4 linked regions of the Pelodiscus sinensis genome follow. The protein of the gene in region 1 purifies or fractionates together with the protein of each later gene. This does not show direct contact. Links are inferred from orthologs where the notes say so. Each region holds a gene or a part of one and is shown in the gene's direction. Other genes may lie near its edges. The genes, in order: CHD4, SMARCE1, ubiquitin carboxyl-terminal hydrolase 36 and ZMYND8.

Evidence for each region.
Region 2: the proteins of CHD4 (region 1) and SMARCE1 purify together in Homo sapiens (affinity purification with western blotting; 3 studies listed by BioGRID, with this or other methods). This does not show direct contact. The link is inferred for Pelodiscus sinensis from reciprocal best matches to the Homo sapiens genes CHD4 and SMARCE1.
Region 3: the proteins of CHD4 (region 1) and ubiquitin carboxyl-terminal hydrolase 36 purify together in Homo sapiens (affinity purification with mass spectrometry; 3 studies listed by BioGRID and IntAct, with this or other methods). This does not show direct contact. The link is inferred for Pelodiscus sinensis from reciprocal best matches to the Homo sapiens genes CHD4 and USP36.
Region 4: the proteins of CHD4 (region 1) and ZMYND8 purify together in Homo sapiens (affinity purification with mass spectrometry; 7 studies listed by BioGRID and IntAct, with this or other methods). This does not show direct contact. The link is inferred for Pelodiscus sinensis from reciprocal best matches to the Homo sapiens genes CHD4 and ZMYND8.

Annotation. Positions count from the first base shown.
Region 1 is NC_134711.1:138,730,056-138,737,521, forward strand, and holds the start of CHD4 (chromodomain-helicase-DNA-binding protein 4), read left to right. Parts: upstream 1-4,465; 5' UTR 4,466-4,621; intron 4,622-5,842; 5' UTR 5,843-5,916; coding exon 5,917-6,019; intron 6,020-7,466. UniProt on the Homo sapiens protein: ATP-dependent chromatin-remodeling factor that binds and distorts nucleosomal DNA. Acts as a component of the histone deacetylase NuRD complex which participates in the remodeling of chromatin.
Region 2 is NC_134739.1:10,452,013-10,459,931, forward strand, and holds the start of SMARCE1 (SWI/SNF-related matrix-associated actin-dependent regulator of chromatin subfamily E member 1), read left to right. Parts: upstream 1-4,915; 5' UTR 4,916-5,121; intron 5,122-6,894; 5' UTR 6,895-7,035; intron 7,036-7,598; 5' UTR 7,599-7,642; coding exon 7,643-7,649; intron 7,650-7,919. UniProt on the Homo sapiens protein: Involved in transcriptional activation and repression of select genes by chromatin remodeling (alteration of DNA-nucleosome topology).
Region 3 is NC_134730.1:29,153,238-29,161,185, forward strand, and holds the start of ubiquitin carboxyl-terminal hydrolase 36, read left to right. Parts: upstream 1-4,930; 5' UTR 4,931-5,050; intron 5,051-6,069; 5' UTR 6,070-6,207; intron 6,208-7,525; 5' UTR 7,526-7,570; coding exon 7,571-7,823; intron 7,824-7,948. UniProt on the Homo sapiens protein: Deubiquitinase essential for the regulation of nucleolar structure and function. Required for cell and organism viability.
Region 4 is NC_134728.1:21,915,367-21,922,185, forward strand, and holds the start of ZMYND8 (MYND-type zinc finger-containing chromatin reader ZMYND8), read left to right. Parts: upstream 1-3,818; 5' UTR 3,819-3,833; coding exon 3,834-3,869; intron 3,870-3,977; exon of another isoform or gene 3,978-4,174; coding exon of another isoform or gene 4,175-4,183; intron 4,184-6,819. Other genes in the region: translocating chain-associated membrane protein 1-like 1, read right to left, coding at 3,425-3,544. UniProt on the Homo sapiens protein: Chromatin reader that recognizes dual histone modifications such as histone H3.1 dimethylated at 'Lys-36' and histone H4 acetylated at 'Lys-16' (H3.1K36me2-H4K16ac) and histone H3 methylated at 'Lys-4' and histone H4 acetylated at 'Lys-14' (H3K4me1-H3K14ac).

The DNA of each region.
Region 1 (7,466 bases):
CTCAGCAGTATGAAAAGATTTTTCAGAAGCTTGGTAGTTAAAACCACTATGCAGATTAAGTGTAGGCTGAACCCAAGTCTAACAAAGGGGACAGAAAACTCCTAGCATGAGAGATGGATATGAACAGTCTAATCACAGGGCTGGAGACCTGTTTCAACTCCAAGCAGGCCTCAACCTACCATGATGGATGATTTGTTACCTAAAAATAAAGGAAGTTCCTCTCAAGTCAAAATGGACACCGGAGCAAAGACCAATGACCAGCCAATTAGTATCAGGGAACGAACAATTTTCTAAACCAAGCATGTTTTTGCATGGCATTACTACAGGTCAGAATTAAGGTTTCTGCTGAATGAGAAACTTTCATTTATGAAGAATAATGAGGGAGAGGGAGAGGATTAACATTAATCATGACATCCAAACAAATATATGTTGCAAAACAGGCCTGTGTTATACCATGGTAGCATGTAGTCCTCCCAAGATCATAACCCTAAATGGAAAAGTAGTATAGGGTATACAGAGACATAACTTTGATACTTGGCCTGGTTCCAGAGATTCTGCCTTGTGTTACCTTTAATAACTTGATCACACCCATAAAGATGAAATTTGTATGGGATATATCTAGAACTCTGTAATAACCAGCTGTGTATGTAGACAGTTGACCTGTTTATCATGAAGCTTTATGGTTCTTCCCAAACAACCACAACCCTGATAGCATTACTGGATATCAGTGTGTAAAGAGGGAATGGACAGCTTTATGGAACATTTGCATGTATAGTGAGGATGAAGATAAGATGTACATGTCTATAATAGGTGATAGAGTTTATTACAGTGGATAGACTGGGCGCTTGCCAGTAATATTTGTAAGAGTAACATCTTTCACTTCTTACGCAGCATTTTTGTCTATACGTCTCACATAAAGGAAGGACAGTATCATTTTCTCCACTTTACAGTTGAAAAACTGAAGCAATGAGGTGAAGAGATGTATTGTGTGTGTGTGTACAGGTGGGTGGAAAGTGATGGTGAGTAGTAAAAGTATTTTTACTACTGTGAGTAGTAAAAGTACTACTGTGAGTAGTAAAAGTACTACTGTGAGTAGTAAAAAGTATTTTAAGGTGGATAGTCTGGTTTGGATAGTAGTGTAAATACATACACTGAATTTGGAGGATGTCAATCGTCCATGTGTGTATAAGATGGATAGTATTATGGGATGCTGATGTGTATAATGAGAGGTGTATTATGGGATGTATGCTCATGGCTCATGTCTACACTATGGAATTTTTCCGGGATCCCAGAAAAACTCCGCCACATCCAGGGAACGCGTCTGCTCTTCTGAATTCTTTTTCGGAAGAGCAGATGCGCTCTTTCGGAAGCCCTGTATTCCTCATTTTATGAGGAATAAGGGCACTTCCGAAAGAGGAGGTTTTTCCGAAATTTGGCCCAGTGTAGATGGGCCAAATTTTGGAAAAGCCTCTTCCGAAAAAAGAATTGGAAAAAAAGTGTAGGGTAGACATAGCCAGAGTGAAGAGAAATGGATAGCAGTATGGGGTAACTATTTCACAGGGGAAGGGGGAATAGACAGAATTGTAGGATGACTATAACAAAGAAAAGATCGTATTATGAGATGGCTATGTGTACTAGAGAGGCTTCAGTGGTATCATGACCAGGGCCGGCCCGAGCCCTTTTGGCACTCTGGGCCTGGGCGCGCGACACCCCCCTCCCCGGGCGCATGGCGCATGCGCTGCCCAGCCCAGCCTGGTGTGTGCTGCTGGCGCGTGTGCCAGGCTGTGCAGGGCCCCACAGCCGTGAGGGCAAGGGCACTGCTGGCCAGCACCGTGGGGCTGGCACTGCGGAAGCCGGGCACACGGCGCCTGTTGTCAGCTGTAAGGGACGCCGCGCGCCTCTTACAGCTGCCATCAGGCGCTCCTCATCGGTTGGCGCCCTGTGCAGCTGCCCGGCTCGCCCATGCCTTCGTTCGGCCCTGATCATGAGGTAGCTGTGTTTATAACAATAGATGGATACTGTTGTGGGAGGTGTGTGTATGTAACAAGGGGTTTGGATAGCATTATAGAATATCCATGTATAATAGAAAATGAGTAGTATTAAGTGATGTTCATGTGTCTACTGGGAGGAATGGACAGTGTAGGACAGAGGTGAGGAAACTTTTTTGAGCCAGGGACCACTGACCCACAGAAAAATCAATCGGGGGCTGCACACAAATGAAAAGCAACCCCCCCCAAAAAAAACAAAACAAAACAAAAACCCCTCACTCACATGGCCCCAGACTAAGAAGGTGAAAGATACTCCCCACATTACCATTGCATGCCAGAGCCTAGAGGGATGCAGGCTAGCAGATTTTGTATGTTCCAGCCCACGATGAGGCAGTGGGGGAGCTTGAGCACAAGGCGCTTGGGCGGCCCCGGCCCCGGCCCCGGGGCACATGCCGGCGCCGGGTGCAAGGGCATCCCCGCCCCTGGCGTGCCCCAGGACGCGCGGCCCCGCCCCCGGGCGCCTGGTGCGTGAATGGCTCCACCCCCCCGGGTGCCCGGAGCGTGAGTGGCCCCCCCCCCAGGCGCCCGGGAGCCTCTAAAGGTTGGGGACCACTGAAATACAGTATTAAGGGAAGGACATGAGATGCCTGTGGTTACAATGGGGTGTGTATATACTGTAAGATGTCCATATGGATAATGAAAAGAACGGATAGTCATATGGAAGTCTGTATATAACTGGGATATGGATACCTCTAATGGAAGGGTGGATAGTGTTATGGTCTCTGTGTGCACATAAATAGGGATGGGTGCTATTATGGGATTTACATGTGTATAGTAAGGGATTATTAGTGATTGTATTATGGGATGTTGGTGTGTTCAACAAAGGGGAGGACAATACTATGGGATATCCATGTGTATAAAGGAATGGTTAGATAATATATTAATGTGTGTAATGGGATAGAATAGATATTATTAGGGCATGCAAGGATTGTAATATGGGATGTCTGTATATATAATGATGTGAATAATCTTATGGGATGTCCATATATACATATACACACAATGGGAAGGACACAGTTATAGAATAGCTGTGTGTTTTATAAAGAAGGACAAATACCATTAGGGGAAGTCCATGTATAAAATGGAAGGGATAAAGATACTATTAAGTTTATACCATGAAGATGTATATCATTAAGAGATGGACATGTCTAATATCTGGGAGTGGGAGGTGGATAATGCCTGACCTTGGTAGGATGTTTGAGTCTCAGAGTTGTTCACATGGATTGTTCTTCTGTTCTGTAGGATGGCATTCCTTAATGGGGTTTATATGTAGGATTGAATGCTTGATTCACTTTTAAAAGTGGGGTGAACATCATTATTATGGGATGTCTGGCTAGAGGCTGATTCCAGTGAATATTATGGGCTACCTGCCTGAGTGTGTGTTTGGGAGGGGGGTGTTGATCATTATGGGATACATTGAGTGTATCATCTGGAGGAACAAAGAAGCCTGGCAGTCTGTGCCAGAGTATTATGGGATGCATGGCTGGCCCTGTGCCCCCAGTGGTTATTATGGTCTGCGTAGATGGGAAGTGGGGGTGGGGCGAATGGTGAGTATGTATCGTGAGTATTATTATTAGATTTTCTGAGGAGGGATTGGTAGGTAGTACTACAGGATGCTTGTCTCCATGCTTGAGTACTGTGGGCTATTCAGATGGCACCGGTGCCTTCTGGTCTGTCTGGGTAGAGTGGGGGGGGAAATACATGAATGTGATTATTATGGGCTGCCTGGCTGGAGTGGGGGAGCAAGCAGTCAGTGGGAGTATTGTGGGTTGTGGCTAAGAATCGCTGAGAGTATTATGGGATGTCTGGCTGGACAGTGGCTCCTGGCAACTATTATGGGATGTCTGGCTGAGAGGGGAGGATGAGAAGGGCGACTATTATTATGGGATATCTGTCTGGGGTATGACTATTATGGGATGCTATGGGGGCTGTTATGGAATGTCTGGGGGGGGAGTTGTAGAGGGAGTAGTGCTTATTATGGGATGCCAGGTTGGACAGTGAGTGTGTGGTATTAGGGGATATTTTAACAAGGCAGGGGGATTATGGTAGGATGTCTGGACGAGGGAGGGGGGAATGGTATGGGGAGGAGAGATATTATGGGATACTGGGGGTGAGAGTGGATGTCAGAGTGTGTGGGGAGAGTACAATTATTATGGGATGTCTCTGTGAGGGAGAGGGAAGGGGACTATTATGGCATGTTTTAGCAAAGGAGTAATATTATGGGATGTTTGAGTGAGGGGGTGAAGTGTGAGGAATATTATGGGATGTTTCTCAGAGGGAGGGGTGTATTATGGGATGTTCCTGCTGGGAGGGGTGATTATTATGGGATGCTGGGCCGGCCAGTGAGTAGGGAGTTCTAAAGGGAGGGCAAGTATTATGGGATGTCTCAGTTAGGGGGTTGCCAGGGTGACGGGGGCGGACCCATTGCCGAGGTGTCGGGACATATTATGGGCTGGAAGCGGGAGCGGGGAGGGGCCTGGTCGGGTTTTTTCCCCTTTAAGAGGTGGTGCTGGAGCGGGGGCCATTTTCCCTTCAGCGGCGGCAGCGAGAGCGAGGAGCCGGGGGCGAGCTGGGTGAGGAGAGGGGCAGGGACCGGACACAACCCCCAACATCGCTTCAAAGGGCAGGACGCGGCGCTGACCCCTCGTGGCGGCGCCCCCCGGCCCCGGGAGCTGCCCTTCCCCCCGGCTCCCGGGGGCGCCGACCTCGGCCCGGCCGCCTTGTGTCCCCGCTGGGCACGGAGCGGCCGCGGCGCCCGGGGACCCTCCTTCCCCGGCGCTACCTCGCCCCGCCCGGGGAACGGCCCCGCTCCCGCCGCCGCCTCGCGCTGCCCGGGGCCGCCCCGCCCGCCCCCCGGGACTGGCCGCGCGCCCCGAGCCGCAGCTGCGCCCGCCCCCCGCCAGGAGCCCGGCTGGCCGCGTGCTGCTGCCGCCCCCTTCCTTGTGCGCGGGGGGGCGGGCTCGCCGGGAGCCCGCGCGGCGCCTGCCACGGGCTCGCCTTTGTTTTGCCTGCGTGAAAGCGGGCGGGGGGCGGCTCCCGGGGGCGTGGTGGGGCCCCTGGACCGCGCGGCTGTGGCTGGTCCTGCCTCGCCGGGTCCGTGGGGCGGGGGCACGTGGGCCCCCGGCACTAGAAAGGGTTTTGGTGGGGGCCCGGTGGGGAAGGGGGCGGCTGCGACGCGGGTCTCTCGCACCGCTAGGAGCCGGTCTTCCTTGGAGCTTTCCCTCCCGTCCATTGATCGCCAGCTCGAGGCAGGGAAGACTTTGCAAAAGCGAGTTTGGCTGTTCCTCAAACACTTGTTCCCTGCTGCACCCGCCGGTAGCTCAGCCGGGGCTGACTCCCTGGAGTAGTAAAGCCACAAAAGTTGGGGTGAGGGGTCATCAAGAGCAGCTTTGACGAAGGTGTTAACTGCCTCGAATTAAATGGTGACCGATTGACTTAAAAGCCCCCGAACTCCATGTAGCCATGCTCTACTGCACCGGGGCTAGTCTGGCGTCATGTCAGAAAGGGTTTGGAAACTATCATCGGACTGCCATTTGGTGGCCCTTTGCCTGCAGTCCGTTCCTGACAGTTTAATTCCCAGTAGACACAAAACTGCCCCCATCAGGACCCTCAACTAGTGCCCAATCTCAGCATTTCCATTCTTCTCTACTCCTCCCTTATTTGGGGGGCGAGCAGTTCTAAATTCCATACTGATGTTTTTTAAAGCCTTCTAATGTAGGTCATCCATTGGGTAACATTATTGTATGGGAACGTGGGTTCGTGCTGACTATCAAAGTTAACTTTTTTATGCTAAGTTACTGGCCTGACTGGCAAGGAGGAGACAAGGCTGCAGAAGCTGTTGGAGCCCGGGTACCCCAGTTTGGAGGACATGGCATCGGGCATTGGCTCCCCGTCCCCTTGTTCTGCTGGCAGTGATGATGAGGAGATGGAGATCCTGCTGAATAACAGCATTGCCCAGCACCAAGGTATAGGTAGGATGCCCAGGGCTACCGTTGTAAAAAGGAGTGGTAGTGGGTCTATCAGTTTTATTGAATGGGTGATGCATGTAAATGATAAGTTTTGTTTTATTAAGAGCCCAGGTGATTAGAATATTTTGGTTTCTTTATTGTGGCCTTTTTAAAACCTGTGGTCTGCACACCTTGGTGAAGTAGAAATTATTTTATTCAAAGCTAGTGCAGGCTGTTGGCAATCCATCTGACAGGGAGTCTGGTTTTAATGGGGCATGTGTGTTGCCAGCAAGGTGTATGTACCATGGCTGGGACTGGAACCAGTATGTGGGAGGGCAAGGTGTCTGGCTTTCCTCTCATCCATCTGGGAGCTCAGACCTGCTGACAGTCCAGAGGAAACTGCCTTGGGCTATTGCATGACCCACTTTTTGTTCACCACACCCTACTCTCCAAGCTTCCCATGGATCATTCTACACTGTTCACCTTAGCCCCTGTTTTTGTGTTTTGTATCAGTAGCTTGCCTGTGCACTTCACTTAGTACAACTGCTCTCAGTCAGGGATCCAGGGACCCCTGGGGGGCTGTGAGTAGGTTTCAGGGAGTTTACTAAGCAGGGCTGGCACCAGATTTGCTGAGATCCAGGATGGAAAGGCAAAGCCCCACTGTATGGGGCAAAAGCCTGGGCCATGGACCCTACCATTTGGGACTGAAGCCAAGCCATCTTAATTTCATGGTGGCCCCCTCTAGCACAGGGCCCTTGACAGTTGCCCAACTTTCTACCCCCTAATTCTGCCCTTGGCTTTATATGTTAAAAATAGGTTGTGGCATGGGTGGAGCTTTTATAGCATGGTGTGTGTGTGGGGGGGGGGGGATGGACACTCCAAAGAAAAAAGTTAAAAATCCCTGCCTTAGTATTTGCCTCTTCAGGCCTCATACCTGGCTTTCACTGTAACTGAAGTCTCTGTCTGAGAATCTGAATCAGGTTAGAGCCCTGGATGCTGAAAGTCAGTTTTCAGGTTCTATTCCCAGATCTGTTGCTGACTTATATGGATGTACAACTCATTTTGCAACAGTGTAAAATAGGAGTTTGAGAAAGGAACTCTAAAATCATCCCTACCTCGTACATAGGCGTCTGAGTCTGGGGCAGGGAAGTCACTTAGGTCCCTGGCTCTTAACCAGGGCTATGCCCAGGGTATGCATACTCCTAGGGGTATGCTAAGGTCTTCTATGCAATATGTTAGCTCACTTAGATCAGAGGTGGGGAGATTAAGGCCTGAGGCCTAAGGCTCCCTCCCAGCATTGGGGAGCCCATGCTGATGCTGTAGGCCTCCTGCAGAGCTGGAGCACACACCATCTACTAGCCTGGGCCCCCAAAGACTCTGGTGTGTGAGGAGGATGTGGGGAATGTTTTTCTCCTTCTTAGTTAGGGGCCATATCAGAGAAGGTGTTTTGGGTTTTTTTGATTCGCACTTG
Region 2 (7,919 bases), on another chromosome or scaffold:
GGACCAGAAATCAATCAAATAGAAAAAAAAAATCAGACTTTACTGACATACAGTATTTTGGCCACACACTAACCTGATGAAACTAAAGGTAACGGAAGTTATTTACTTTAATCAGAGCACAACTACATGCTAAGTTATTCTGAGTGTGAAAGTCACTCAACTCACCTACAAGTGAAAGATTCCCACAGTATAACTCTAGCCTCAATTTCTACACAATTCTTGTTTGCTGTTTAAAACATCTGGCACCAAACCAGCTATGGTGTTTGGTGAGTACAAATTGAGTTGCAAGAAAAAGAGCAGCACAAATAGTTTAAATGTTGGGTTAGTTAATTTAGAGAATACCGAGTTCATGCTGCTCTGTCCCCGGTATAATCCTCTCTATTACATGAAGTCTGTTCTTGATTTTAGGTTTTATAAGCTGCAATATGAGGTGTTGATATTTTAAATGTGCATTCTATTTTAAATTACATTTCCTCCACTTACAGTAAAAATATAAGTGGAGATTTTTTTAATGGATTTTTCACAGAGTCATACTTTTCAAAGTTAAGAGATTTATTTTCTTCTCCCTGTACTATCAGAACAGTCAATACATCAATATGAATTATGTGTGTATATATTGACCAAACTGTCTTGGAATTTGGTCACTGTATAGTGATACTCAAAAAGCTCAATACTGAGGGACTACATGATTTGGGATTGAGCTACTGCCATCTGACAAAAGTAGAATGACCTTTGAGAACTTAAGTTTTATTGTCCCATAGGTCATTCTGCATCCTACCATTTCCTAGTAGAAGATGCAGAAATCTCAGCAGTTAAACCAAAGATTAAGGGCTACATATTGCCACCTTTATTTATAAAATCAAAGGACTACTTATATAGCAAGATGCTAGTCAACCACCACACAAAGCCCTGGTCTACATTAGAGAGTTATTTTAAAATAACCCCCCTTATTTTGAAATAAACAAAGGATCCACACTACCAAGTTCAAAATAACAGGCTGGTCATTACAAAATCTATATTCCTGCTTTCCCTGGGGAATAACACATATTTCAAAATAGTTATTTTGAAAGAGCATCCACACTAACAGTACACTGCTACTATTTCAAAATAACTACTTCCCAGACTAATTCAAAGTAATTATTCCCCAGTCCTTTCTGGGGCTCTAAGTCAAGGAAGCATGTCCACAATAATGGAGCCTGCCTCAGACTAATGTCGAGGCTCCCCCCATAGTGGGGACATGCTCTTTTGATTTTATTTTGGGTGTTATTTCTAATTTAGTTATTTCAAAATGATTTCCTAGTGTAGACATGCCCTAAGGGTGGCAGAGTCTGACCTTAAACAAATATGGAAAAGAAATTTAATTATCTTCTCATGATCTGTCTCTCCAGATCATGATACAGGCACTTTGTTGGCACAATACGGTGAAGTTTGTATTGTTGTTGCCTGTATTTTATATATTTCCTTATGAATAAATAGAGTACTGTCATGCACCTCTTCATACATATAATGAAAGAGCAGAAATCAACACAACTTTGCTAATCAGTGGAACACATACAATAGGTTTGGCATGTCAGCATGAAAAATGAAATATAAGAACACACACCACACCCGTACATTAAATATCTGAGTTAGATGCATAAATCCTGTTTTAGATTTTATCTTTCCTTTTAATTTTCTATGCATACAAAATAATTATTTTTCTTGGCAGATCTATAATACATGAAGTACAGAAAACTTTCATACTGTAATTAACATGATACTTTGTGTGTGCCAATAGGACTTCAAAATATCCACCACTAACATACAATGCTATAAGCAGGATTAGGAGGGAAAACTTTTGAGACTGCTTGACAGTTACTGCCTTGTCAATAAGTACAACATAGATCATGAATCCCTGAAACTTCCTCTTGTGTGAAACCTTCCACCTTAGCTTTCACAAATTATTTGAGAACCGTATAAAAAAAATATAACTAAAATTTGCACATTTGAAAAGAGAAGTAGTCAATAGCTGGTAGAAGAACTGAATTCCTGCCAAATTACTTCAAACGAGACTCCATATTGTAAACACTTTCCAGGATTGGACCTACGGACTCTTACAGAGCAGTCATATCACCCATTCAGACTAAGGAAAAAAAATCTTAAAGTCTGTGGGAGTTTTACTGAATTAAGGGTTGAATGTTATGTTGTACTTTAAGTATCAAAGTGTTTACATTTAAGCCATCAATGGATAAATATGCTACTGTTTCACTGCTGAAAACATGTCATGATATTTTTCAATTAACATGTCTGAGGAGACAAGGTAGGTGCAGTAATGTCTTTCATTGGAAAAACTTGTTTGGGGAAGAGTGTGTAGCTCGACCGCTTTTCTCTCTCATTGAAGCTGGTGCATAAAAAGATATTACCTCACCCATATTGTCTCACTAATATCCTGGGATAAATTCACAACAAGAACTCTGCATATACCTACAAATGCAGGATCTTGGGGAAGAAGGTGTCCTTTCATCACTTTGAATGTAGCTATTTTCTGGTAAAATAATGCAGAAGGTACATTCCCTCTTCTAGCAACTGCAGAGTAAATCTATTTCCAGAAAGAAAAATACAAGACCTAAATTACAATAAAGGGCATGTGGGAAGAAAGTGGTATCGATTCACCCACAACCCAGTGACTGTTCACTCCAGTGGAGCTATTCTCATTGTTAAGTGCTCAATCATATAAAGATTGCACAGTTGTGACCAGCATATACAAAAACCAATGAGAAATATTTCAAAAACATAGACTCATATGACTGTATCTAAGAGCATTTTAGCATTTTCATATTATCAAAATCACGTTATACTAGATTGGAGAGAAAAGAGTGGTGTAATGGTGTGAGACCAAGAAGGAAAGCAAGAATTAATGGACCCTACTTTCACCTCTACTACCTGCACTCTTCTCCAGAAACTCCTTAACTAACAGCAGGTAAAAACTTGAGTGAAATGGTATTTTGCCAATATAAAAACAATATTCTCACCTTTTTCACATAAATTTTCTGATGATGTATAATGGTGGTTTAAAAAGAAGTTCATAAAAATATGTATTTTGGTTCCCTTTGTTTTTTGTAGCCAAATGCAAGTTATGGATTTATCCCTTGTACTTGAGCAAGGGATAAATTGTGAGCCAATGTGGACCTTGACCTTCTATTTATTTGAAAAAGTGACAGATCTTCAGTGACCAACATCTGATTAGACAAACTCTGAATGTCCCAGAGAAAACACTGGCCCTTATTTCTAAAGACAAGTATTTAAGAGAACCATGTCCAGCAATGCCTCACCCTGGGCGGAGGGCAATCCATAGGATTTATGGGACTCTACGCTGTATGATTAAATTGATGTCCCTAAGCCTGATGGGGCAGCTGGGTGGATGGGGAAGACAATTTTTTAGAATTGTGCTTTTATAACCTTCAGCAAAATGCTAACAACATATTTTTAAAACAATTTTAAACTAGTCCTGTAAGTTTCTGAATGGACAACATATACCTGGAGTTTACAAATGTCTGTTAAATGACTTCATTACCAGTTGAATGGCTCTTTCGCAGGTTCAGGGTTCTGCTAATAGCTCTGGCAGGCTTTTTTCACCAGATCCTCTCCAGAGGAAGCCACAAACCAAGGAAAGGAAGAAGCAGATGTATGGACAGTCACATTAAGACCCAGTGGTTCCTCAAATTTTCAAGTGTCCTATGCAGGGTATGGATATGGGTATGGATAACTCTTCCTCAATATCTCTATTTAAATAGCTGAGTGCAGCCTTTAGTGGGGCATGCATAGGGTTATAAAATAACCATCTGATGCAGCTTCTCATATTATTGCAAAAGCGACGAGGAGTCCTGTGGCACCTAACACGGCTACCCCTCTGATACTTCATATTATTGCAATAAACATACATGTGGTGCAGGGACACCTCAGATAACTATGTGGGTAGAGACGCTTCCTCCTATATCAGTAACTATGCCAAGGCACATTATGTTGCAATTACAGTTGCCAGATGGTTTTGGAAAAAATACCAAATATCCCCCCTCCCCCAAAATATCCCAGGCCAGGAAAAAGTTTGTTGGGGGGGGGGGGGGGGGGGGAAGTGGTCCCTTTAAAAAAAATGCATGCTGAGGCTTTTTGGCACTAACAGGCTGCAGGTGGGCGTCCACCATCTTGCCTCCCTGCACTGGGCCAGACTGAGCACTGGGGCTGCCGGGCTGCCTCCATATTGAGCCAGACAGTCTGGGATTTTCACCTCCTAGCTAGGAAAATAGGGGCCATTTTAAGTGACGGGTATTTTCTGAATTTTTTTTACCACACAGGAGATGAAAATACAGACAGTCCGTTTCAATACCAGACCCCTGGCAACCCTACGCATGGCCGTCCCTGGGGCCGGGACACCTGGTTTTTAAAGGGGCAGCTGTAGCCTAGGCACCCGTGTGTTATAACCAGGAGGCTGCAACCGAGGCCTGCATAGCAGAGAGGTGCGACCTGCATCAGCTGGTTCCTTAGAAGCCAAGGCGGAGAGCTGACAGGAGGCGCAGCGCGAGTCGGCGGCCGGCCACCGCCTCTCCTCAAGCGACGGCTTGACAGGCTGGGGGGCGCGAGACTAACGGTCGCGAGAGGGGGAAAAGGCGCCAAAACAGTGGCGCGTGTCCTCCGAGGCGCGAGAACGAACCTAAAGGCCGCGAGAACACAACGCTCCAAACCCCACCCCCACCCCGGGAGCTGCGGCGCGTCACGGGGTCGCGAGTCCCTTGCGCGCCTCCTAGCGCGCCATGCGGGTCACCTGACGTGGCGCCGCTCGTCACGTCAAGCGGTCTAGCCAAGCTGTTGTGCCTCTTGGCTTTCTCGTTCGGCTCCGCAGATTCGCCACAGAGCAACCCTCCTTTCCCTGCCCTGACGGGAGACGATAAAAATTCCCTGGGTGTTGCGGGAGGGAGCCTGGCCAGGAATAAGCCAGGGGAGGGAGTGAAAAAGCGGGGGAGCTGGGGACTCCGTGTGGAATGTGCTGAGGCGGAAGGGCGGGCGGCTTCCCCCGAGTCGCTGCTGCCCACTCAGGAGCGCGCTGTTGGCTGAGAACAAAGGGGGCCCAGGCCGGTGCTGGAGCGGGTGAGTGTCTGAGGCGATGGGCGCTGCGTGAGTGGGCCCGGCACCGGCCCCGCGAAAAAGAGACCGTGGGAGAGTGGGGGGAGGGCAGTGGGAGAGCGATGCCCCCCCCGCGTCCACGCCCATGGGCGGAGGAGTAGCCAGCCCCCGCCCCCCACGCACCTCGCAGGGAGAGGGAGAGACACACGATGCCCCCCCCCCGCCTCCCCTACATGCGCTTCGCGGGGGGGAGGGGGGAGAGAGTGGTGCCCACGGACACCCCATGGGCAGGGGGTAGCCAGCTCACTCCGTGCAGGGAGAGCAGAGAGACAGCGGTGCCCAAGGGAGGGGGATAGCCAGCCCCCTTCTGGTGCTTTGAAGTGGGGAGGGCAGTAGCTCGTCCCCTCCATGCATCCTTGCAGGGAGAGGAGAGAGACAGTCATGCCCAGAGCAGGGGGAGTAGCCAGCCCCCTCCTTGCACCTTGCAGGGGAGGAGGGCCATAGCTAGCCCAATGGTTTTCACAGCTGGATCAGGGACTGGCCTAGGTAAACTGCTGTGGGGCCCACAATGCTTTGTTTATCTAAGGGTGTGTCTAGACTATAGGGTTCTGTCGACGAAAGTAGACTTTTGTCCACAAAATTATACCTGCGTCTACACTGCCGCTGAGTTCTGTCAACATAGCGCCGACAGGACTCAGCAGTTTTCTCAACAGCTGTAAACTTCATTCTACGAGGAATAACACCTTTTGTCGACAGAGTTCTGTCAACAGAAGGCATTATTGCATCTACATTGTCCTGTGTGTCTACACTGTCATGTTGACAAAGCGGCTGGCTTTGTCGACAGAACTGGATGTAGTCTAGACACTCTTTGTCGACAGAAGCTTTGTCGACAGTATCTGTTGACAAAAGCCTGTAGTCTGGACGTACCCTAAGTGTCCATAACTACAGAGCCTCACAGCTCCTCTTGGCTGAAAATGGCAAACTGCAGCCAGTGGGAGCTGCTTACACATAAATAAACAAAGCATGGGGGGAGAGGAGCCTGCCTCTGGGTTATGACCCAATTTTGAAAATCACTGAGCTAACCACCCCCCATGCACCTTGCAGGAGAAGAGAGGTAGCTAGTCCCCCTCTTCATGCACCTCACAAGGAGAAGGGAATGGTTCCCTTTCCCCCTCCTTCCACCTTGAAGGGAGAATAGGCTGTCAGCAATAACGAAGGAAGCAATTATTTCTTGCCCCGTTCCCAAAAATGGTAGCGAAGAAGGCAGGTACTATCCTCCCTTAAGCAAGTACACCTGCTGTAGTGACTGGTACCATGTCTGCATTTGTCATGCCGGAGATCAATCTTTTGGTATTCAATTTAGTGGGTCTAGTTAAGACCTTCAAAATGAAACTCAGGGCGGCTCTGGTTGGTGCCAGTACTCCTAGCAGTCGTGACAAGTAAAGGAAGTAGACTGGACTCCCTCTGTGAACACTGTACCAAGGTCCACTTAGGGTAAGCCAACTCCAGCAACGTATTTTACGTACCTGGAGTTGCATACCTTAACTCAACCTTCCAGGTATAATGTTTTCAAAGGTACCCTTACTGATTGGAGTAAAACTCTCAAGGTGTAAAACCCTGTGTTCAGAAGTGACATGGCTGTGTTTTTATCACCTACGTGCTTAGTATGTGCCTCATCTTAAAAAAAAAGTTGTAAAATTAGTATGTTACATATTATGTTTGTATATTTTGTATATTCCTTCCCATTCACCCCAAAATTGGATGAATAATGAGATCTTTCTGTTGTTCTCAAGCCAGGCCTCCATTTAAAATTGACCTACTGAAGCATTCTTTTCATTTAACCTTGTTGGAATCTCAACTGAGAGCATAACTTCTTTCGTAAGAGTTATCCAGTGTCGCCTACATTCCAGACCATCCATAGACCTTGGGCATGGAAATGTACGTGCCTAAGTACTTTATTATGTGTGGAAATAATCACGGGTTCAGCATTGAAACCTGTGCCTATAGTAGTGTTAATATTTGATGCCATAGACATTATTTATGTCAGATGATGAGCATTTACAGGATTGGGACCAATTTTGCTCTCTCAAATCCAATAAACTGTGGAAAAACATTGGAAATGCTTATCTTGTGTCTACATGAAGTAGTAGTACAGATTATAGGGCTATGATTTCTAAAGCATACAAATGTTAGCTGGTGTGTGCTACAAGTTCCCTTGTGTGCTTTAACATGGTGTTGTTTTAAACAGTACTGTGCTACATTAAAGCACATTAGCGAACTTTATACAGATTATTTATATTACAGGCTATACAATGAGCCCCTCAAAAACCTCATTGGACATATACATATAGCAAAATTGCTAAAAAATAAACCCCATAAAATGAAATTAATAAATTCTGAAAAACAGAAGCTCTAATTATGTTCTTTGTTTTAACAGTTCATGAAAACAGAAAGTGTTGTATTTAACAGTCTGACACTGTGTTCTCTTTTTTGTTTTTCAGAATTTGAGATATAATGTCAGCTGGCTGAAAATTTATCTGCCAAAATGTCAAGTAAGTTTGTATTTTTTTTAAATGTAAGACGTCTGTTCGGTGGCACTTACTTTCATGAATAACATTGCTGTTACATGGGAAAGGGCTACTACACCACGAAAATTATAAGAGGAATATTATCAGGTACAGTAATTATAAGTGAACTACCAATCAGTTAGTACTAAATATTACAGCAGTTCATAGCCAACATTGTGCACTGAGGATTTCTTTTAAGTGTCCAAAAGGTGAAAGGAACATGCAAGCATCCTACCTGCCAAGCTGCATAATTGT
Region 3 (7,948 bases), on another chromosome or scaffold:
CCGGGCTGGGAGCATGAGCCCATCCTGTGCCGTGACGATGCACGTGCAGGCACGCAGCCCAACCTGACATCTGGCTGCCTACACGCCCCGGCCCCGCAGTCTTCTGGGAAGCCCTCCCAGCCACCCTCAGCCCCACTCTCCTGAGCCAGTTTCATTGTGTTGAGGCCCTAGAGCGCTGCCTCGCCAGCCGGGACCTTTGTGAGAACCTGCGTAGCCTGGCTAACGTAGGCCCAGCCAGTGTCTGGAAATTATCCCTGCAGACCTGCTTCCGGGGCATTTTCATGCTGTGCATCGGTGTAGGCTTTTAATGATGTCATACTGGACCAGTCTGGGTGATTTTCAGTATATAAAAATGAAGAGGAAAAAAACCTAATCACTCCAATATAAGACTCCTGTTTGCTTACTGTACGGTTATATCATATGTGACATTTACTCCTGTCTCAAATGCTCTCTTTGATTTTAATGTTTCGGTTTGTTTTGGCATCAGCTGTATCATTCCTGTGCTGTAACTTTTAAATTTCCTTGTTAGGTATTAGAATTGCACTTATTTTTTTAAAACGCGTTTCTGCATTGGAAGCATTCAACATGAAGCGGGACGAATGTCGAGAAAGTCTGTGGAGGGTTGAATCCTCCAGATTTTCCTGTTAGTTTGTATTTTTCCTCCTTCCCGGGTCCCCCTCTTCTGCCAAGTGCACAAGTCTTCAGAAGTTGGATTTACTAATAATATGGGATGGGGGATGGGAGGTCCCATCCATTTACCTCTTGTTCAGCAAGGCCTTGCTAGTTTGTCTCCAAGAGCAGGGGGCCTCACACGACAGAATTGCAAACATCTCTCTGTCAAGTGTATGAAGGAGGGTCGATTGGCTTGTTTTAATTTATGCCTTTGGTTCTTGGTTCCATTCTCTGCCTTTCTTCCTAGCTCCAGTCCCCTTTTCCATGCAAGCAACTCAAAATATTTTAAAAAAATAAAGTTTACACTATCGTGCTCTTCAAATCTTTGCTTGATAAGTATTACAAATAAGGAGCATCGAACTTGCTGCCATAATTTAAAGCTTCTGGGTGGGGTTGTTTTTGTTTGGTTTGGTTTTTTGGGTTGGTTTTTTTTTTGTTTTTTTGGAGCAATATGTTTTTGCTGGAATCTGAAGTCTGAGACCTTCTTGTGCTGGAAACACATGAAAGTTGTTGAATAATGACAAGCAGACTGTGCGTGTCTCTGACGCTCTGTATAATTCATATGTGGACATTCAGTCTTTGGACAATAAACAATATTGTACAAAATGAAATGCTTTCCTCTCTGAATTTGCTGCACCTCTCTGGGGCTGTGGAAATAAGTACCACATACAACTGGGGATGCTAGACAGGCGCACCAATCTGCTTGTGCATGTGGGACTGGCTGTGAGCGGGTGAGTAATCCACCCAGCGTTGGGGGGGCTGTGCCATAGATATCCGCCCACTTCCCTCAGTGCAGAAGTTTTGCTGGCTAAGTTTGTTGTTGCTGAAGTTGTTCCGCTGCATCAGCCTTCTTCATGTACAATTTTGGGAACCCACAGCTCCGGGCGAGACCCCTGGAGAGATCGGCCCAGTGTTGCTCTCGCTATAATGGCCATGCTTGAGAACCCCCAGCAAATGTCAAAACCCTGCCCTGGCCACGCGCTCAGCTCTTGCTTGCTCCTAACATGGCGAGGGGCTGTCCTGCTGAGCTGCTCCTCAGGCAAGTAGTGCTGCAACATGATTACTGAGAGCAAGGATTTCGGCTTGGCACAATGCCAGTTTTATCATTTCAGTGGCTAATATCCGTGTTTCTCGGAGAGCTCCCCCCGCCCAGTTTTGACGGCAATATTCACAGTTGCAGGAGGAGCGGGTCAGACAACAATAGTCAAATAATGCTGGCAGAGTTTACAACACTTTAATCTGTGGACCCCTAAAGAACTTCAAATGGAGGTGTGGACCCTTTGGGAGATTTTTAGCTTCCTCTTCCCGGCCAAGGCCATGCAGCAGGAAAAAGAGGAGTTTGGGGGAGGAGGATGCAGTACCAGCCTAGCCTCGGGCAGTGGTGAATGGAGGTGGGGCCCCCTTTGGAAATCCAGACACTGGCCTAAACCTGCAGGAACAAACAGCCTGAAACAAGAGAAGATCCATGCGCTGCATCCTGCACATGGACTACTCTGAGAGAGAGAGAGAGAGAGACAGAGAGAGAGAGGGAGTCTTTTGGGGAAAGTGTAAGCCATTAGAGCTCTTCGAGGACAAGATGTGGACGAGCGTGATCCAATGGACACAGGTGTTGTACCAATAAAAGCAAGCAGGATCTTATGAGGGGGATAAGGCAAAAAGCCACATTTATTGTAAAGATAATAATAAAGAATAAAGAAAAGATAGAAGCAAACAACGTTGTTTAACTACTTATTCCTATCACCACTTAACCCTTATACATACACACACACACACACACACACACACACACACACACACACACACACATTATACATATAAACATTCATTCATCCATTCATCCAGGTTCTGCGTATTTGTTACAGTTACCAGTCTGGAAGTTGCTTGTGACCGAATACTGGCCAGGTATTCTGTACACAAGTGATGGGAGTGGGGAGCGAAGTCCTGATCAGATGCGCATCTGAAGCTCCTGGTGGGCTGGCAGCAGAACCTTGGACTCTGACTCCATAGTCTTTTAGTCCAGTTCTTATAGGACTTTCTTCCTATGCCAGTCTATGGGAATTGCTGCATCATGCTGATGTCCAGGGTGGCTGCCAGGTGCTGGTCAGTGATCTCATCAGGTGGATCTCCAGTACTTGGTTTTCTCCACTTGACACCTTTTGGTTGCACTGGCACCTGACGCCTTCTTCAGCCCTTTGTTGCTGCATTCTCAGGCTGGCACCTCTCAGAACCATTCATTCATCATCCAAGCACTCTCTCTCTTACATACATTCCCTAATGAATGTTTCCCAGACAGTATTTTGTATAATAACTTTACATAGACAAGAGTTGTAGTTACCAAAAGTCACAAGTTTCTGGGTGGCATTTCTTAAAACATTCTCTCTCTGAGTGCTGAGTAGTGACTGCTATAGTTACAACAATGCCCTTAGTCAATTACAGGGCTTGGCTCCCAGAGCAGAGTTAGTGGCTTGACAATGCATTGTTACAATGTATCCTGCAATGTCAATTTCAAGCCCTGGAACACAGAGAGGGGAGCTGTTTCTGGCTACATAGTAATACATCTAAACATTTAACAATCTTAACAAATAATAATAATAATAAATCTAAACACTTATCAAGCTTGATAACACTAAATCTAAACACTTTAACAAGAATAAATCTAAACACTTCTATGCTGCTTCTACTTAACAAACTTATACTACTTAGACTTTTAGTTGTGGGGAACAAATTATGAGGAGTCACTTCCACTTGGGGGAATCATGTTTAATACTTTAATATGTTATCCCTACACAGAGTAGTTGGACTTTCACAAAGCCTTTCTCAAGGTCCCTCGCCAAAGGTTTGTAAGCAAAGGAAGCTGTCGTGGGAGACGAGGGGCGTGCCTCTCCTGGATCGGTGACTGGTTAAAGACAGGAAACGCAGGGTAGAAATAACCAGTCAGTGTCAGTGTTGCCGACTCGCACAGAATCTGATGATATTTCTTAAAGCCCCTGCTCCTGGGTTCACGTGATTATAGGGGAATCTCAGCCTCCTTTTTTAAACAGTTCATTTCTAGGCTTCATGGTTGCAAAGAAATTCTCAAAATGGAAAGTCTAGAGCCACCATAAAGACTAACCGGTTTACTTGGGCATAAGCTTTCCTGGGCAAAAACCCGCTTTGTCGGACACATGGGTGTTTGCCCAGAGAGCTTATGCCCACGTAAATGTTACTCTTGACCAGGCCCCAGGACTTCCTGTTTTTGTGGACACAGACTAACACAGCTCCCCTCTCTGACGACTGGAGATGGCAGCACCAGTCAGTTTTCAAACTAGAGAGGTAAATAGTGGTGCCCCCACAAGACCTGTCCTGGGATCAGGGCTGTTGCACAGGTTCAGAAACGGTCTAGAAAAGGGGGTAAAGGGCGAGGTGGCAAAGTCTGTAGCTGATACAAAACTACTCTGGATAGCTAAGTTCAAAGCAGACTGGGCAGAGCCTGGGCAACTGGCAACAAAACAAAATGGCAAATGAAGTTCAGGGCTGATAAATGCAGAGTCAAGCGCATTGGGAAACATGGTCCTGGCCATAGGCACCAAATGATGGGTCTACGCGATGGCGTAACCTCGTCCCGCTGCGCCTTCTGCGCGGCCACCGCTCAAGAACAACGGCTCTGAAAACAAGGACTCAGCGTGCAGCGGCAGGAACAGCGAACAGTGGTGGGAAGCGGCAGGCAAGGGACAGAAACGACACAAGATCTCACAGCCCCCGTAGAAATCCATGGTACGCCCATGCTTTGGCTACAGCCTGCAGCTACCCAGCCATGGAACCGGCAAAGAGACAGAGAAGGGCAGGAGAGATGGGGTTCCCGTAAGCTGAGCACTTGGGCTTCCGGCCAGGAGAGGTTAAATTCCACCCGGCTAATTAGCACAGTGCCCATGCGTGTGTGTCTGTTGGTGGTGCACATCCGCACATGCCTTGGTGCACAGAACAACATTTATTCCGCCTTGGGTGGGAAACATGAGACGGGCCATTGGGCAGGGAGGAGCAGGGCTGTGGCAAGCTCCCGTGCCAGGCGGACTCAGGAGGGGGCGCTACAGGCAGCCGCGTGCAGCCGGGCGGGCGCGCCGCCCTGCGGAACTCCCGGCCACGGCACGGGGGCGGGGCCACGCGGCCAGGGGGCGGGGCTGTGGGTGGCACGCGCAGAAGGCGCAGCGGGACGAGGTTACGCCATCGCGTCACGGCGCGGAGCCTGCGCAGACCCCGCCCCTTAAAGGGGAGGCGGTGAGCGCGGGGAGCGGGGGTTATGTGGCGGGTCCCGCGCAGGCGCCGACTCCTCCCCTTTAAGGCGCAGACACGTGTGCGGCCGCGGAGGCCCGGATGCTGCGAGAGGCCGGAGCCGGAGCAGGTAGCGGGGGGGGGCGCGAGCCGGGCGGGGGGGGCATGGCGAGCGGGGGGGGGCCGGGCGGTCTGGGGGAGCAGGGCGAGCGGGGGGGGGCCGGGCGGTCTGGGGGGGCGGGGGGAGCAGGGCGAGCGGGGGCGGGCTGGGGGGGCAGGGGGGGCGGGGGGAGCATGGCGAGCGGGGGGGGGCTGGGGGGGCGGGGGGAGCATGGCGAGCGGGGGGGGGCCGGGCGGTCTGGGGGAGCAGGGCGAGCGGGGGGGGGCCGGGCGGTCTGGGGGGGCGGAGGGAGCCGGGCGGTCTGGGGGGGCGGGGGGAGCAGGGCGAGCGGGGGGGGGCTGGGGGGGCGGGGGGAGCAGGGCGAGCGGGGGGGGGCCGGGCGGTCTGGGGGGCGGGGGGAGCAGGGCGAGCGGGGGGGGGGTCGGGCGGTCTGGGGGGGCGGGGGGAGCAGGGGGAGCGGGGGGGGGCCGGGCGGTCTGGGGGGGCGGGGGGAGCAGGGCGAGCGGGGGGGCCGGGCGGCCTGGGGGGCGGGGGGAGCAGGGCGAGCGGGGGGCAGGGTGAGCGGGGGGGGCGGGCGGCCTGGGGGGCGGGGGGAGCAGGGCGAGCGGGGGGGGGGCCGGGCGGCCTGGGGGGTGGGGGGAGCAGGGCGAGCGGGGGGGGGGGGCCGGGCGGTCTGGGGCGCGGGGGGAGCAGGGCGAGCGGGGGGGGGCCGGGCGGTCTGGGGGGGCGGGGGGAGCGGGGGGGGGCCGGGCGGTCTGGGGGGGCGGGGGGAGCAGGGCGAGCGGGGGGGCCGGGCGGCCTGGGGGGCGGGGGGAGCAGGGCGAGCGGGGGGCAGGGTGAGCGGGGGGGGCGGGCGGCCTGGGGGGCGGGGGGAGCAGGGCGAGGGGGGGGGCCGGGCGGCCTGGGGGGCGGGGGGAGCAGGGCGAGCGGGGGGGCGGGTGCGCTGCGGGGCGCAGGGGCGGTCCCTGCTGGGGGGGGCGGGTCTGTCTCCGCCCGGCCTGGTCTGACCCTCCTCGCCTCCGCCACAGCCCGTGTCCCCTCCCGGCCGGGAGCAGCGCGTCCCCCTGCCAGGGCAGTGGCCCCCCGGCTCCCCCGCTGCGCCGGGCCCGGGCGCTCCCGCCAGCGCAGATGCCCCCGCAGGGGCCGGCTGAGCCCCGGCTCTGGAGGTGAGAGCCCCGCGCCGCAGGGGGAGCCGGGGGCCGGGGCCCTGCGGTGCCGCCCAGGAGCTCGCTCCGCTGCCTGTGTCCGGCCGGGGGTGGGGGGGCTGCGCCCTGCGGCTCTTGCCCAGGTGGGGCCGGGTGGGGAGCCTGAGGCCCGGGGGGTCAGCCCCCCCAGATGGGGGTTCCTCCCCACGGCACTGGGGAGCCCGTGTTGGAGCTCCAGGCCCAGCCGCCCCCCATGGGGCTGACGCACAGACAGCGAGTCGCCTGGCCCCAGGGCCCTGGGGCGCGAGGGGCCTTTCTGCTTAAGGATGCTCCGTTGCCGTTACCTAGCTAGCCCCATGGGCCGTGGAGCCGCTGCAGCGGGACTGAGCCTGTCTGTAGCGGGGGCTGCTCCCCACTGGGACCCCTGCAGACAGGGGGTGCTTAGCAGCAGCCTCCCCATCCCCCCTGCCCTTATAGAAGCAGTGGGGGGCAGGTGGAGCCCTGGAGACAGTTCTGGGGAGAACTGGTTTTTAAGCCAGCTTCCCCCAGCACTGGTTCCTGCCCCCCCCCCCCCCCCGCTGTCTGTCCTAGAGGCAACGAGGGGGGGAAGCAAGGAGTCGACTAGTGTCCGACACCCCTAGTTCCCACTGCAGTGCTTGATTCAGAAATCTAGCCAGCGCCACGTGGGGGGAGCAGGGGCTGCTTCAGTCCCCCCTCGCGCTGTTTCCCCTCTGCCCCCCCAGAGGCAGTGCAGGGGGGACCGGCTTTTCAGCTGCCCCCCATCCCCAGCACTGACTCCTGCCTCTGCCCCCCCCCCCCCCCCCCCCCGCTTGCTGCCTCTCTCTGATGGAGGCAGCAAAGGGGGGGAAGTGACGGGTGGAGTTGGCATTTGCTAGCCAGCCAGTTGCTCGCGCCCCTATTTCTGCTCCTCAGCCGGGGGCCGTGTCTGTGAGGGGTGTTTCTTTTTGCTGCTTGCTCGTGTGGCCCCCGACCCTACCAGGGTCCCCAGCCCTGGGGTAGAGGGAGCTGCTGGTGGGTCTGGGAGCAGTGTGGAGCGTGGCCTGGTGCTCTTGGGACCCATAACTCCTTTCCTGGCTCTCCCTGCTTCGCGGAGCCATGGGCTGTCTCTGGGCAGGTCCCAGCGTAGCTGGCAGAGCGGAGACGCTCCGCTGGCCCCGTGGCAGCGGGAGGGCGGCGCTGACCGGCGTGCTGAGCTCTCTGGGGGGCTGGCAGGCCAGGGCTCCTGCAGACTGACCCTCCCCCCCCCCGTGTCTGACATGGCTCTGGGCGCTCTGTGGCAGTTCCCGCCTGGCCAGACTCCTCCTGCTCTCCCCTGCAGAGAGACGCGTCCCCGGGTAGCCAGCTGAGCCGCCCCCGCTGCGCCATGCCCATCGTGGACAAGCTGAAGGAGGCGCTCAAGCCAGGCCGGAAGGACTCTGCTGAGGATGGGGAGCTGGGCAAGCTGCTGGCGTCGTCTGCCAAGAAGATCCTGCTGCAGAAGATCGAGTTTGAGCCGGCGAGCAAGAGCTTCTCCTACCAGCTGGAGACCCTGAAGGGCAAGTACGTCCTGCTGAACCCCAGGGCCGAGAGTGCCGGTCGCCAGAAGAGCTCCGATGAGGCCCAGATCAGGAAGCAGGGTGCGTAGAGGACTGGGGGGGGGGGGGGGGGGCTCTCTGGGAGCCGCTCGTCTTCCCAGGATGTGCCAGCCTGCTGGGCTCGTCCGCGCTACGGGTGGCACGGCGAGGGGCCCTCCTGCAGCGTG
Region 4 (6,819 bases), on another chromosome or scaffold:
AAGCAGGCGACCCTGAGACTTCCCGCTGCATCCATGGGCTGGATCCAGTGGCGTGGCAGGCCAGATCTGACCCGCGAAGGGTGTTTTTCCTAGGACTTGTCTACATGGTGCAGAGGTGGGGGGCTCACACCAGGTCCTGGACTGCTGCATGTCCATCTTTTAAATGTAGTAGTAAGAGCCTGGTGGCTCTTGCTACATTTAAAAGGCAGAGCTGCAGCAGGCATCGTTCTTGGACCCCACCTCACCTTATCGACTAATTGTGTAATCGATACAAACTGTACTGACTACACAATTAGTCAATTACCCGCTTCTTAACATCCTTACCCTGTGCTACAACAAAAAGAAAAGCAATGCTGGGCAAAGTTCTTTCACACATTGTACCAGAAGGAAAGGGAGGAGAACAAAAAATTGGGTCTACCCATAGATCTGTCACTTATAAAATAAGTTCCATTTTATACGTGGCCTAGACCCCTTTACAAATCTGCCAGTTCTACATGAGGCTGCATTCCACACGTGGCAAGGACACCACCCCCACCCCAAAAATGATAGTCAAAACACTTCAAGATGCAGAAGAGGAAATCTTTGCAGTGCCCTGAAAGAAGAATGGAAATAGAGAGGAGTATGTAGACCCTTCAAAGAATGACCAGCACTTCAATGTTTTAATTTAATTTATAATAAAAGCTTTTTTTTTTTTTTTTTAAGAAGTTGATAGCATATATTTTCTTACTTATCTGGACAAAGTTCTCACTTTTCAGGATGAATGAATTTTTCAAACCACAATGTCATCAACAACTGTTGAGATCTAGCACCATCAAAACAACCAAGTGACCCTGATCTGAACTCTTCTGAACTTTCATTACATTGACAAGCACAGCCCTCTACAAATGGCTGTCCATGATCATCAGGAACTTTAAAGGTTTCTTAATCAACTTTTCCAAAAATTGCATTACAGTCTTAAAAGTTAACTTGCTACACAAGCTCACCTTTGCCTATTTTGCATAATTTGAATTGATTGCAATAGCACTGTGTATATGCATTTTGCATCAGACAGAAGAACGCAACACAAAATATTGTTCTTTGAATGCAGCTGAATATTCCCAGCACAAACTACATTTAGAACTGTACTTGTATGGCTAGGTCAGTTATGGGTGTAATATTTTATAGCTATAGTTAAATGGGTTTAACCTCACTATTTATGAAATTATACTGCCTGACATAAACACTGCTTATTCTCCTTCCTGTACAGCAAGGGTGGCCAACCCAAGGCTTGCGAGCCACATATGGCTCTTCTTCCCCCCCCCCAACCCCGGGTGCAGCTCATGAAGCCTCCCCCTGCCCCCATGGCTCGAAAGCCTCCCCCACGCCCCTAAAAAAAGGCCTCTCCTCCCAGCTTCCTGTGCTGACCTGGGCAGGGGAGCTGTCTGGTGCAGCCATGAAAGCAACAGAAATAAAGATGGCGGCAGGTGGCGGGAGCCTGCTGTGGCCCAAAAGCTTCAAAACGCGTTTCAATGCGGTTTCTTAAAGGGGCAGAGCCTTTTTTTAAAGAGGTGTTTTTTTTTTTTTTTTGCTTGACCAAACATGACCAGGGGCTCGTTTTAAAGGGGCAATCTTTTTTTTTTTCCCCCCTCCTCTACAACTTTGCCCCTTTCAACTCTTTGTGCTGGATCCACTGCTATCTTGGCTCTTTGCCCAGAATGGGCTGGTCACCCATGTTGTACAGGAATAAACTATATTAATATCACACTGAGTGCTAGAGGGGCTGTAAATGTTTGTTTACACACAGGATCGTACTGACTTTGGACAAGCAAGGATTTACAAACAATTTCGCAAACTGTTTGTTTTTAGCATTCTAACTTTTGACCAATTCATCCACTTTAACTCATATTCCAGGGATTCACATGACAAAATATCCTATTAGTCCGCATAGGAGGATCAAAGTTTTTCCACCTTCAGCCTCCTCTTGTAACTAATGATTCTCCACAACTTCACTTTCTATCCCAGCATTCTATCTGCGTCATATAGCCGCTTTAGTTTGTACCACTTCTAATGCAGCACACTACAGCATCACCCAACTTAGCATCTGTCATTTGTTTGGAGGGACATTATTTGATTATCGTGACTCCATTATCCACCCTTTTCCAGCATAATTCACTGAATTCTAAAGGACTAGCATAGCAGTAAAGAACAAACCCTTAAAGATAATACTTCACACTGCGTAATATCTTTCAACCCAGTATTTCAAAGTATTTTCTCATTTTTAAGTATTCTTATTTTAAATCTAGCTCAAGGTGATGAGTGATGTTTGGATTGTTTCAGTAACAACTTTCCCAGACATAAATTGTCTCAGCTTGGAAAACCATGTTTCCAGACAGTCCTGACATCTCCCCTTCCCATCTACCTCCACAAAACCCCAAACAAAAGGCAAACAACCTGCCTTACCTGTTTCATTAGGTTGCCCCATTCTTGAGAGCAGCAGTAAAAATCAAACTAAACAACTTACAGACTAACACAATGAACTCATACAGCATCATGACACAACAATTTTATTCCAGAGAACAAAACCTAAAAAATTCAGCCAAATCAAAGGTGTCATCTTCATTTAATTAGAAAAAGTTAACTTTAAAATACATAAGAGAAGAGGGATTGGGAGACAAGTCTAAGATTGTGTCAATACTAGCATTTTTCTTTAGATCTCCATCACTGACTGACCTGAGTCAGTGAGAGCAAGAATCATCAATAACAGAGGTGGACTGCTGGTACCATTTCAACTGCCATGTCATCCGACCCTGCTCATAACAGGTCAAGCCAATCTGGTGGTTAAAACACCAGTGGCCACCTGGAGCTCTATTTCCAATAACCCACGTTTCCACCACTGCAAAGTTTCCACGAAAAAGTTCAAACCACGCCCGAGAGAAAAGGCAGGTTGGGCTCCAAGAGCATGGATGGGAATGAGGGGCTTGCTGGGAAGGAATACGGGCTACAACTAATGTGAAGGGGCCGACAAGGGAAGCTGTGTGGCAATAGGGATTCAGGAGGGCAGGTCGTGAGCTAGGGGCGTCGGATACAGCGGAAAGGAACGAACGAGCATGAAGGGTCCGGGGATAGACAGCAATGACAAGAGGGCCCGGATAAATAGCATGGGGACCAGCGCACGGGGGAGATGAGAGCGAGGGTGTGTCACAAGGCCAACCCTCGGAGTGAGGCGCTGGGGAGGCAGGAGAAACGGGGCCCAAGCAAGGACAGGTCTGGGGAGAACGGAGCGCGCAGAAGAGGATCGCGACCAGTAGTGAGATGGGTGTGAGACGAGGCTCGGCCGCTGCCCGCAGACCAGCAGCGGTGGCGCAGGTCGGAAATAACGGTATGGCTCGCTTGGGACGGGTGCTCCCCGCTCGGCGGCCGCAGGTAGAGCCCCCAGCCCCCGTACCTCGAACATAAGCCCCAGCAGGAAGCCCATAGCCAGGCAGGACACGGCGTCCGCATGGTTCTGGATCACGAATTCATGGCTCAGCACAGCTGGGCTCTTGTTCTTCCTTCGGAGTCCCATGGTAACCCCCGAGGGCCTAGCAGCCGGCCGGGTCCAGGAAAGAGGTGGTGATTCTTCCTCAACAGCCCCCTCACCTCACGCACAGTAAACACCCCGGCTTTTCGCCGCCCGCCCACAGCTCAGCATCAGCCAGTCTCAATCCAGGAGCACAATGATTGACAGTTGTCCTGGTTAATCGCCGTGCCACTGGGAGGTGTGGCTTTCAGAGAGGGGCGGGGCAAAAGTCGCCGTTTGATTCTCGGAATAGCTCTCGCGGTCCCCAGGAGTGACACCGACTCCAGCTAATGAGATGAGCCAGAGGGTGGGGCATGTGACTCCGCCTGCGGTGGGTGGGCTTTACAGAAGACAACTAATGCAACCCTTTGGAGGGGAGGGCGGAAGCGGGGTTGTCGCGGTTGCTAAGGTTTCCACTCCGTTTTGTGGGTGGAGCTCGGAGCGGTAGCGCGCGCTGCTTGAGGTGCTGCTGCTATTGGCGTGGCGGCGGTAGGCCTCTGCGCGCCGTGCTTCAGTCCTACCAGCCAGTGGCTCTAATGGAGATGACAGGTCCTAGTAGGTCCCGCTCCGTCCTGGTTCCGATGCTGGGGTGCCTCTTCTGGAGCTGACAGACCCATACGAGTGGGAGGCGGCTCTATGGAGAAGGCAGGTTTCAATAGGCACCGCATTGTCGTCGTCGCGGCCGGCTGGCTGTCAGTCGTGTGAACTGAGTGGCTTCGCTCAGGTCCCTGGAAGTGGTGCTTTGTCGTAGCGTGTCAGTCGCAGCATCCAGGACGGAAGGCCAACCGCGTAGCCCAGAAACAAAGAGTTGCAGGCTGGGGTGGAAAGCTCTTGTATCTTTGTAGTGGCTGCGGTGCTGCCCCTCAGACCTGGCTGAAAAATGGAGGGTGCGGGGAGTCTGAATGGAGACTAATTTTCTCACATGGAGGGAGGAACTTTCATTAAGATGCCAGGGGTCTTTATTCCCTCATCTACTCAAAAATTCATTGAAACTTTCAGGAGTTTCCATGGGCAGTACTGTTGGTCAGTAAGGTAGAGGGAACTTTCTGGAATTTCCTATGCTGAAATAAGGGAAATCATTGTTAATGGCCTGAGGAAACAAACAATGGAATTTTGAAAGGGCGTCCTAGAGAATGGCCTGAAATGATGGGTTCTTCATCAGAATCTTGAAAGAATTCAGGTGACAGAAAAATAAAAGGTGTTTGGCCTCATCCTCTAATCCAATGCGTGTAGCTGGAAACTTTGAATCCACGCTGAACTGGAATTGACTACAGTAAACTGTGACTAGTCCTGCAGTACATTAGAGTCTAACAAAAAATGTAGCTGGTATCATGAGCTTTTGTGGGCACAACCCACTTCTTCAGATGTGGCAAGCTCCACCTGCATGGATCAAATTGCAGAAAGGAATTTAAGTGGGGAGTGAAAACTTAGTATTTGTGACAGGAAAAAGCAGTCCTAAAGTTAGTATCACTTTTCACATCATTTATTACTTAGCAAATGTTGCATAAATTCCAATTAATATAAAATAACTTATAAAATAACTCCCTAAAATTACTTTTTACTTGATCTCAGTGATATTCCTAGGAATATTCAATTACTACATTTTTAAATAAATCCAGTTTGGACACGTTCAAGCTGAGAATGTTAAAATGAGTGTATTCAGCTAAATGTGTAACCACTGACATTTTCAATGGTTACACATCTAAAGGGGGGAGGGGAGGCAGCAGGGTGGGGGCTCTGTGTAACCGTTGAGGTTACCTGATGAGCCCATGCTCATCGGTTAACTGACATATTGACACTACCACTTAACCTAGTTCAGGCCCCATTTTTGCTCTCTGTCAAAGTTTCAGGCATATGTAGTGCAGGAAACTGAATTTCATGTTTATATTCACTTCAAAAGTATTTGTATCATTTGTTTGGGAATCAGAAACAGCATGTGTTACTTGACTCATTGTCAAGTACTCTCAGTGAACTTTTTATAAATCATGATCAATTTACAGTGAAAAATATTTGGAACCTTTTGTTCTGATACCAATTCTTGCAATTTAATCACAAGTCTGGTGATATTTAGTGTTTTTCTTTAAGATCCAGCTCCTTTACATTTAAGAATCTCAGGTTTTCTGAAGGTTTTTTTTTAAACTTCTATGATTGAACAAAAAGCTGTGAAAGGTGAACCCCAATGACTCGAAGCTAATAAAAAGGCCTAATATTATTTTAAAAATTATTTTAGTTAAATTTGTGGGGGGCCTAATGTATGACATTTGAGCATTTAGAGTGGGTGTACTAAATATATCTGAGGAAAACCACTCACTGCGTTTCTGCTAATGGAAGACAAGCCTGAACTTATGCAATAAATTATTTATTACAAAATAATAAATATTTTATTATTTATTCAGCTGTACTGAAGACAGTACTGTAACTATTTTAAATGTAGTTTTGTGACGTAATTAATTTTTAGCATCAAAGCAACTAGTAAGTGAGCTTCAAAATAAAGTTGTTTCTGGGTTTGAGCCAGGATGAGGTTGCTAATATTGTCTTGGTATGCAGAATGAACAGTGTCTTTCTGTGAAACTTTAACATGATACAATAGCAATTGGTCATATTCTGCTATGCATGAGTAAGTAGAAAGGATTAATAATGAAATTGTTCTGACCTAGTAAAAAAAAGTCAGTGACATTTTCCCAGGGTAAATTATGGGATGGGATTCTGTATGCTTTTTCAGGCATCGGATATACTTTTCAGTACTTGGCATTTTTATTTGTAAAGTTAATGTAAGATTTACTGGCTGCCTCTGGCATTATCACATACAGTAAAGAATGCATTAGCTGAATTTAACCGACAATTTGCTAGATGATGCTAGAGACAGAATATAATATATATTGTTCTTTGTTAGCTGTATTGGGTCTAAAAAAAAGGAAATGAAACCTGTATTTTTCCTTAATTCATATGCTGATATTTGACAGACAACGGAATCAGATGATTAAGGAAGAGACTTTTTTTTACAAATATATCCCCAGGTGCTTCAACATACTGTGGGGACAATCTGTAAAATGGGAAGATGAACTGATTTCACTGGGTCATCTGCCAGCTCCTCATGGGTCTATACTGGCAGAATTTTTCCATTATTGATGCCTACCTCTTCTGACCATTTCCAGATTTGAATAGTCTTGTATTTATTTAAGTCATGTAAAACTGCAGTGTTATTTCACAAACAATATGTACATAAGAACATAAGAACGGCCGTACTGGGTCAGACCAAAGGTCCTTCTAGCCCTGTCTGC